Xenopus tropicalis: one gene and its partner. Each later gene encodes a partner of the first gene's protein in a complex. Links are inferred from orthologs where the notes say so. Each region holds a gene or a part of one and is shown in the gene's direction. Other genes may lie near its edges.

Region 1 (4,350 bases):
AGCACTGTGCCATGCAATCTAAAATAAACCCTATTGTTTAATAAAATTCAGATGGGAGCAGGCTGGATTATCATACCAACCCTTTAAAAAGCCAGGGTATCTTATGTTTTTAATATGGATGTTTAAATAAAAATGCAAATTTTTTTCTTTTAATTTTTGTGTGAAGTTTGGGATCCGTATGGATTCTGCTGTTTGGCTTGTTCTTTAAATCTGGGGGCTGTGTCCTATCTACTTTGGCTCTTTTTGACTGGCTGTTGAGGATCCTTCTTTTTGAATTAGTATTAATTATTTAACCCACGAACCAAGCAGCACACAGAGCAACACTGGAACTAAAAAAATATTTTTACCCATAGTAAACTGTTAAAGTTATTCCATGAACTTTTTTGTGATCTAATGACAGTGTGTTAATAAAAAGGTATCAAATACACTCTTAAATGTCCTTGTCTATAACCATACATTATTGTTGTCCATTGAAATGAAAGCAGGGAAACAATTACTGCTAATGAATCTCTCAGATGTTTACATAATTCAGTGGAGCTAATAGTGCAAGGCTGGATGAGACGCTCAATAAGAACTACAGACCCTTATTATGGGACGCCACCGGGAATTCTTGAGTGTATGTGGTGCTGGGGAATGGGCTTGATGCATGCAGTTTCTATGCATACAATATAGTTTGTTTAAAGAAGCAGAAGAGTCTGTGAGAAGCCGCACAAAGGCATGTGATGGTACAACCAAACATGTTTTGAACGCAGTATTTTATTACCCATCAGGTGCCATAGATGGCAAGTAACCCCATGTCATGAGAGAGATAATAACCCAATTAAGGATTTATTTTTTAAAAAAAAAAACCTAATTCCTCTTTTATCTCAATGGCAACGTAAAATAAGGTGTCAAAAATCCATGATCGCCGTCACGCACAGACAGGCACGTTCAGCATACACCCCTCTAGCTTCTGAACTGCCACCGGTCAAGCACCGCCTTTACACAACACAGTATAACCACCCTGCATAATAATAAATAATGCTTAACCCTCTCACCTGTAGTTAGACCACCGCCTGTCACCGGTAGCCAGGAAACACAAAGCACTTCCGGGAGGAAGCTGTAAGAGGGTGGTGCTCAAGTTGCGTTTCTATCTCCTATCCCCAACTAAGATGGCAGATATACGGAAGTGAGCTTTCTCCTGACTTCCGACCTCCAATAACATGGCAGTAGTTACCCAAAGCGTCACTCAGTCTGCTGCATAAATAGACCCGGTGATTGGCTGAAAGATTGTTCACAGCTCTAAAGCGGATTGGTCCAAACTGACCCAACCTCTGCAGTGGCGGCTTGACCCCGTAAAGGCCAAAGGTCTCTCCTCTCACTTATAGGGCTGTATTGTTTAATTTCTTTTGGAAGGACGAGGTTCTGCTTTCTGGAAGGCGGCAGAGAGCTCACAGGAAGTTGATAAATAGAAATTTGTTGGTTACTTCCACCTCTGTCGATCCAAATTGCCGCGCGTATTTTTCCACTGACGTCAACTGGGCGACGAACCAATCCGCGTGTCGCACCTGAGTTGTGCTGCGCAAGGCAAGTTGGCGATTGAAAGATGGCGGAAACTGTGGAGCTTCACAAGCTGAAGGTATTCCACGCAGGGAGTGGGTTCTTTCTATCGGGGCCTCGTGTTATAACTGGAAATCGTTTTGTGGCACTGCACCTTTTATATGAATAGCGCAGGGTTCTTCTATCCGTATAGGTTCTGTCTACATCCAGTGTTTGTAATGGCTTTCCGCAGGCAGTGCTGGTAGTTGGACTTCAGCATTGGGTTAAATGAATCTATTGATATAAAATCCCTGTAATAGAATCCTGTCAACTTATTTGTGGCCTAGTGATTCCATGGCAGTGCTAGATGCTGCTAATTGCTCTGATTTATTTCTCGTTTGTAACCCAGCCCACCCAGCTCACCCAGCTAGATTCTTTGGGTTTTTTTAGGAAATGTGCCCATTCTAGTTTGTTTTCTGGAATTTTAAAACAAAAATAATTGTATTTTGTGAATTACAGAAATAATTGTAACTTTGTGAGATCAATTCAAACCAATGGGTACATCTGTGTGTTTCAACAGAACTTTTTTCCCTCAGGATATTCACCGATTCTCTACATGTGTCAAGTGTTATTGAGTTTCTTTATCATTAGAGGAGAACTTAATTTATAATTGCTGGGGGTGCAAAACTGTTAGGCACCCCGGCCCGTTGTTCCTGTTAACTAGAAACTGCGCCAGCCCAGGGTAGGATCATATTTGCCACAATAATCTTCTGTCTTCTTTTCTCGGGCCTAGGCAGGTACATGTGCAGTTGAGTGGGAAAACAGTCTTTTTGTGTATAAGTTCTGCACATGCACCTGCCTGGACCAGAACCAAGAGAAGACAGAGGAAGCCGAAGTAGATGAAGAGTTCACACCATAGGAATAAGTGCAGGTATATGGAGCGGAGTGGAGGTTGACCTGAAAAATGGGAAAGCAGGCAGAAATTTGTACTTTTCGGTGCAGATACAAGGAGTTGCATAAGAGAGCAGATCCACTTTTCTCAACCTAAAGAAAAAATGCTGATTGAGCAGCACTAACAATACAAATCTGATTACATTTTCTGCAATCCTGGCTTGGATTCCTGACATTATTAAAATAATTTAAGTTCATGTATATTGGAAAGTTGCTTTATTGCGCAGAAAGTGTTTAAGTGGAAGAACCCTTTAAACTAAACTAATCTTGTTAAGGCTAAAACAACTAACTTTAAAACTGCTAAAGTGGCCCAAGAAATGACTGAAATGATTATCTACCATAGGATTACGGGCAAACACTGTCAACAGTTCTGGAATCATGCCTATAAATCCAGCTTTTTAGTGGTGATGCAAGATTTATCTGGGATTTATTTAAGTAGCACCACAAATATACAGTGCTTTTTAAGGGGGAAACCTAAACAGGGGTACAGTTATTATAAATTAAACGGCATAAATACCTACTAACACTTTACAGATTATTGTATCTGAATTTACAAAAATAGCTAAGACAGAGTGCGCAAGAAATTACTTGCGCTTATGCTTGTAACTTCATATGACTATAATATTGTATTTTGCATGGTTGTATTCGAAACAAGGCCAGCTTTATTTGCAGTTATGGTGAGGTAACAGAGGACCTATCGCCCTCATACATGCCTCCTATGTACTTCACTAAGAGAGGCACTAAATTGCTACAGAACAGTTGCCCATAGCAACCAATCAGGGTTTTGCTTTCATTATTTCACTAGTAGTAGTAGACTGGTCAAAACTAATGTTGATTGGTTGCTTGTAAAATTTAGCACTTATGTTAGTGAGCCCTAGTTTTGTTTTACTCACACTTTAAAGTACTTTCAGAATGTATTCTCAGAATATTAGGGAAAAATGTATTACAACCCTTTCTTAGATTGTACATACTGTAATCCAGAAGCACTCTGGAGTCGTTCTCTCTACTAATGAGAATTTCACCAATTTTATTTCTTGCAACAACATATTGAATTCTTGGCACAAGTATAATTGTTCCTGGAAAGTTAGTTTATGCAATAATTTCTTTCCCTTTTTTTTTTTTTTTTTTTTTTTTTTTTTTTTTTTAGTTGGCTGAACTAAAGCAGGAGTGCCTTGCTCGTGGCTTAGAGGTGAAGGGGAACAAGAGCGATCTTATCAGCCGTCTGCAAGCCTATATAGAGGAACATGGTTCGGAAGAACTTCTGTTAAATTGTTTGTTTTTTTTTTTGTTTTTTTTTAAATATGTTTGTTTTTAATGGCATTTATATGGCATAAGCACACTAACAAACTCTGTGGGGCCTATCTTTTTCCTCCTCTGTAATTTTCATCTAACCATGCTTCAGGGACATAAGATTATGTCTCTAAACTAAACTGTTATTCATGATTTAAATTAGACGGAATGCTTTGTTTGTAGTTCAGGAGTATTATGCAATACCTCTGCAGAGAAATGTGAAGTCTACACATATAGTTTACACCTTTTGCAGAAGCCAGGGACTGGCTTCCAACAGGAATATCCAGATATATATATGCAATTAAAAATTGAAGCTAAGAAAGTATAAGTGAACCATAATTATCATATTTATTTACATAGATTGCTTCAATAGTGTCACAAACTATATTTTTAAAATGACTTTTTTTGTAAGAGGCTAAAAACAGTAACCATAATTCACATAGAAGGACATATCATTTATGTTTTCTTGTGATTTTGGATTGTGGATTTTTTTTCTAGATTGCAATCATGCAATCTAGAAATGATGAAAAATGTCCAAAAGCAAAAACTAAATAGACAAATGTAAAGACATTTAGAGGACACAAAGTAAAA
Region 2 (4,438 bases), on another chromosome or scaffold:
TGTAAGTAATGGGGAGTACTAGTGCTAGTCTAAGTAATGGGGAGTACTAGTGCTAGTGTAAGTAATGGGGAGTACTAGTGCTTGTGTAAGTAATGGGGAGTACTAGTGCTAGTCTAAGTAATGGGGAGTACTAGTGCTAGTGTAAGTAATGGGGAGTACTAGTGCTAGTCTAAGTAATGGGGAGTACTAGTGCTAGTGTAAGTATTGGGGAGTACTAGTGCTAGTGTAAGTAATGGGGAGTACTAGTGCTAGTGTAAGTAATGGGGAGTACTAGTGCTAGTGTAAGTAATGGGGAGTACTAGTGCTAGTGTAAGTAATGGGGAGTACTAGTGCTAGTGTAAGTAATGGGGAGTACTAGTGCTAGTGTAAGTAATGGGGAGTACTAGTGCTAGTGTAAGTAATGGGGAGTACTAGTGCTAGTGTAAGTAATGGGGAGTACTAGTGCTAGTGTAAGTAATGGGGAGTACTAGTGCTAGTCTAAGTAATGGGGAGTACTAGTGCTAGTGTAAGTAATGGGGAGTACTAGTGCTAGTGTAAGTAATGGGGAGTACTAGTGCTAGTCTAAGTAATGGGGAGTACTAGTGCTAGTGTAAGTAATGGGGAGTACTAGTGCTAGTGTAAGTAATGGGGAGTACTAGTGCTAGTGTAAGTAATGGGGAGTACTAGTGCTAGTCTAAGTAATGGGGAGTACTAGTGCTAGTGTAAGTAATGGGGAGTACTAGTGCTAGTCTAAGTAATGGGGAGTACTAGTGCTAGTGTAAGTAATGGGGAGTACTAGTGCTAGTGTAAGTAATGGGGAGTACTAGTGCTAGTGTAAGTAATGGGGAGTACTAGTGCTAGTCTAAGTAATGGGGAGTACTAGTGCTAGTGTAAGTAATGGGGAGTACTAGTGCTAGTGTAAGTAATGGGGAGTACTAGTGCTAGTCTAAGTAATGGGGAGTACTAGTGCTAGTGTAAGTAATGGGGAGTACTAGTGCTAGTGTAAGTAATGGGGAGTACTAGTGCTAGTGTAAGTAATGGGGAGTACTAGTGCTAGTGTAAGTAATGGGGAGTACTAGTGCTAGTGTAAGTAATGGGGAGTACTAGTGCTAGTGTAAGTAATGGGGAGTACTAGTGCTAGTGTAAGTAATGGGGAGTACTAGTGCTAGTGTAAGTAATGGGGAGTACTAGAGCTAGTAATGGAGTGCCAGTACTGGTATAATGGCAGCAGGTCCCAGGGCAGCACGGATTGCAGTGCAGTTATGTAGAAATATAAATACTCGGGGCAATAATCATGTCAGGAATGAGGAAAGGGAATGGGGCTGTGACTCCCAGCTGAGTGGCACTTACCTGCGGGGCCCGGGGAGGCCTGCCTGGGGCTGTGTGTCCGGCTGTGGGCAGGAGGCGCTGGGCCGCCCGACACTGGGGGGAGCTTATAGGGAAGGCGAGGCGGTGACCGAGGCCTCCATGCTCCTGCCTGTCTCTCCGGCTGCTGCCGCCGCTGCTGCATTCTGGGAGTCTGACCTCACTGCTACTCGCCGCCACCGCCATGGGAGCCGTCACCGACGGTAAGTACAGCGCCCTCCTACCCCACCGCCTACACCCTCCGGCTCGGCCTCAGCTCTGCCTGCCCGGGTACCGACCGCGGGAAACCCACACCGGCCGGCTAGGCCGCAAAGCCCCGGGCTCGAGTTAGGGCTCTGGGGGAAGGAGAGCGGTACGGACTTCCGGCCCTACTCCCCGCTCAGCGTATCTTATATGGATAATATTATATATATATTTATGTAGTGCTACTTAGTCTCATATGGATAGTATATATATCGCTGCTGTATCTATCCTAGGGACAATATATATTTATACCGCCACTGTTATTCTGTATGAATGGATGTACTCTGTCTCTATCTTATGGGTATGATATATATATATAGTAATCTAATCAGATAATCTGTCTATATCCTAATGTACATGTACCGCTGTGTATATATCCTATGGATACTTTTATGTATACAGAGATTTCACCTACTCACTTTTTCACTGTTACTGGTGACTTAATGGGTCTCATTGACTGTTAGCTACACACACAGGGCACTCAAGTAGGGTTTTTATAAAGTTGCCTGGCATAAATTGTAGACAGACTGCTATATATTTTATATTATTTTGTATCAATAAACCAGTCACCATTGCCCAAGGTGCTAGGGACAATTTACAGCCACTATTATTTTGTATGAATTATATTTATGTACCTTTACTCTGTCTCTATCTTATAAATATGATAAATGTAGTAATCTAATCAGATAAGCTGTCTATATCACAATATAATATACATGTGCTGCTGTCAATAAATCCTATGGATACTTTAATGTATGTATACAGAGATTTCACCTACTCACTTTTCACTGTTACTGGTGACTTAAAATGGGGGTCTCATTTGCTGGCAGCTACACACAGGGCACTCAGGTGGGATTATTTTCTATTGTTGCCTTGCATAAATTGCAGATAGACTGCTATATATTGGCACAGGATATATGATATGACCATGTATCATTTTGTATCAAAAACCAGTGACCATTGCCCAAGGTAGTTTGTTTGGCCAGATAATCATAATAATATGTGAATCTGTGTATTTCTATATAATGATCAGCACCCTCACAAGTCTTTTTAATTTCATTTAGAGCTCATGTTATGATCAGTTTAGTCAGCCTTTCAGCCATGGTTTATAGCCCTCAAGATTCTGAAATTTTATGTCAGACTGAACACCACACAGTTCTTTTTATAAGATGTCAGTCTTATAAGGGAGATCAGTGATACTGTCAGGCATTTTTAAGACCACGTTCCACTTTACAAGAAATGGTAATATGGAATATTGTTTTTCCAGGCCACTCATGGGAAATATCATTATCTCCCTGATAGTATGGGGTTAAGTCTATTAAATATACCTGTTGGGTACCCTGCACCCTCTTGGTCTGCTATCTCTGTTGTTAGGTTTACCTTTGCCTCCTTAACTAAATGGTGATCAGCTTTCCATCTGCAAGAGTCCTCCATTAGATTTCACAGGCTGGCCAAACCACATATCCACACTTATTCATGAAATTTAGATATGTTTGATTTTTGCAGATGCAATGTTTCTAAGCAAAATTACTTTGACAATTCCTTTGAATTAAGTCCAGGTAACTTGGTACTTGGCACCAGTATGGCGCACATATACTGCCACCTGGGATGTCTCTCTCTGTGGATCTAGAATTCTTGGAGATGCTAGGCAGGGTATCCAAATCTATCCTGTTCTGTTACTGTATAACTGCTTGATGGTAACCTTCTCTTACACAGTGACCTGTCTTTGTGCAGCAGCAATAAAATCCACTATTTCCATTTCCTTCTGTTCTTTTCCAGATGAAGTTATCCGCAAAAGACTTTTGATTGATGGAGATGGTGCCGGAGACGACCGAAGAATTAACTTATTGGTAAAGAGTTTTCTGAAATGGTGCAACTCGGGTTCCCAAGAAGAAGGGTAAGAGGCACCAAGTGACTGTGGCAGTAGTTCCACAATGTTATTTTTATTAGCAGAACTGAAGCTTCAACCAGTTTCTAATCATGTCTGGGAAAAGTATGATTCCAAAATTATTGCTTGGTAAAATTCTTTGTGGAGATTTCATAATTATGGAAAATTCATTTTCCCTCTGGAAGAGAAAGCAGCAGAAAATATGTATAAATGTAAGGCCATCATTGCTGAGTAATCTGTGCTGAAACAGTCCAACAGGAAGGGCAGAATCCAGGTTACTCTGAAAGGAGATTTTGAACCCCATGCTTACCAAAGATTGCTATTGGTTTTTTTTAATTTTACTTCAGTGTCAACTGGGTTGCAAATGTGTTTATAAGATAACTGCTAAGTTGGAAACCAGATGTATATATGAAACTGAATGTTTATGGGACCACTAAAGCCATACTAAAACTCTACTGAAAGGTATGATAAGTGGAAAGGCTGCTGTCACTTTGCCACTTCCCAGCGCAATGAGGTAGCTCAGTGGATTGCAGATGGGTTGCCAAGTTTAACTAATTACATCTCTTGGTGACAAGGAAGGACGAAAACAGTTCTAATGTCCCCTAGGAAAGCACTAAAGTGAGTCTTGCTGGGCAGCCAGAAAAGGGTAGGGTTGTATTTGTCTTTTTTTGCTTCAGGTAAACATAAAGGTCTGGACTATTCAACTGAAAGCCCGTGGGTTAAATATGACCTGCTACATGGTCAAGAGCTCCATAGGCCACATCTGATGGCATCATTGTGAAATGAGATTGTATGCTATGGGCCAGTTAACAGCATGCAAGTGACAGGTCTGTTAATCACGTAACATACAAGGGATTGTGGGAATTGGAGAGGACAGCTGAATACTGCTACACTGTTTTAATAATATTTGTAGTTGGGAAAAGGACAGAAATTACTTCCAATAGCAATTAGATATACTGTTCA

Evidence for each region.
Region 2: sarnp (region 1) and thoc7 share a complex: the UniProt entries of both Homo sapiens proteins name them as parts of the transcription/export (TREX) complex. The link is inferred for Xenopus tropicalis from reciprocal best matches to the Homo sapiens genes SARNP and THOC7.

The regions. Positions count from the first base shown.
Region 1 is NC_030678.2:138,209,635-138,213,984, reverse strand, and holds the start of sarnp (SAP domain-containing ribonucleoprotein), read left to right. Parts: upstream 1-1,300; 5' UTR 1,301-1,585; coding exon 1,586-1,618; intron 1,619-3,616; coding exon 3,617-3,716; coding exon of another isoform or gene 3,717-3,740; intron 3,741-4,350. UniProt on the Homo sapiens protein: Binds both single-stranded and double-stranded DNA with higher affinity for the single-stranded form. Specifically binds to scaffold/matrix attachment region DNA. Also binds single-stranded RNA. Enhances RNA unwinding activity of DDX39A.
Region 2 is NC_030680.2:145,033,216-145,037,653, forward strand, and holds the start of thoc7 (THO complex subunit 7 homolog), read left to right. Parts: upstream 1-1,489; 5' UTR 1,490-1,528; coding exon 1,529-1,547; exon of another isoform or gene 1,548-1,706; intron 1,707-3,366; coding exon 3,367-3,484; intron 3,485-4,438. Other genes in the region: atxn7 (ataxin-7), read right to left, coding at 1,330-1,489. UniProt on the Homo sapiens protein: Component of the THO subcomplex of the TREX complex which is thought to couple mRNA transcription, processing and nuclear export, and which specifically associates with spliced mRNA and not with unspliced pre-mRNA.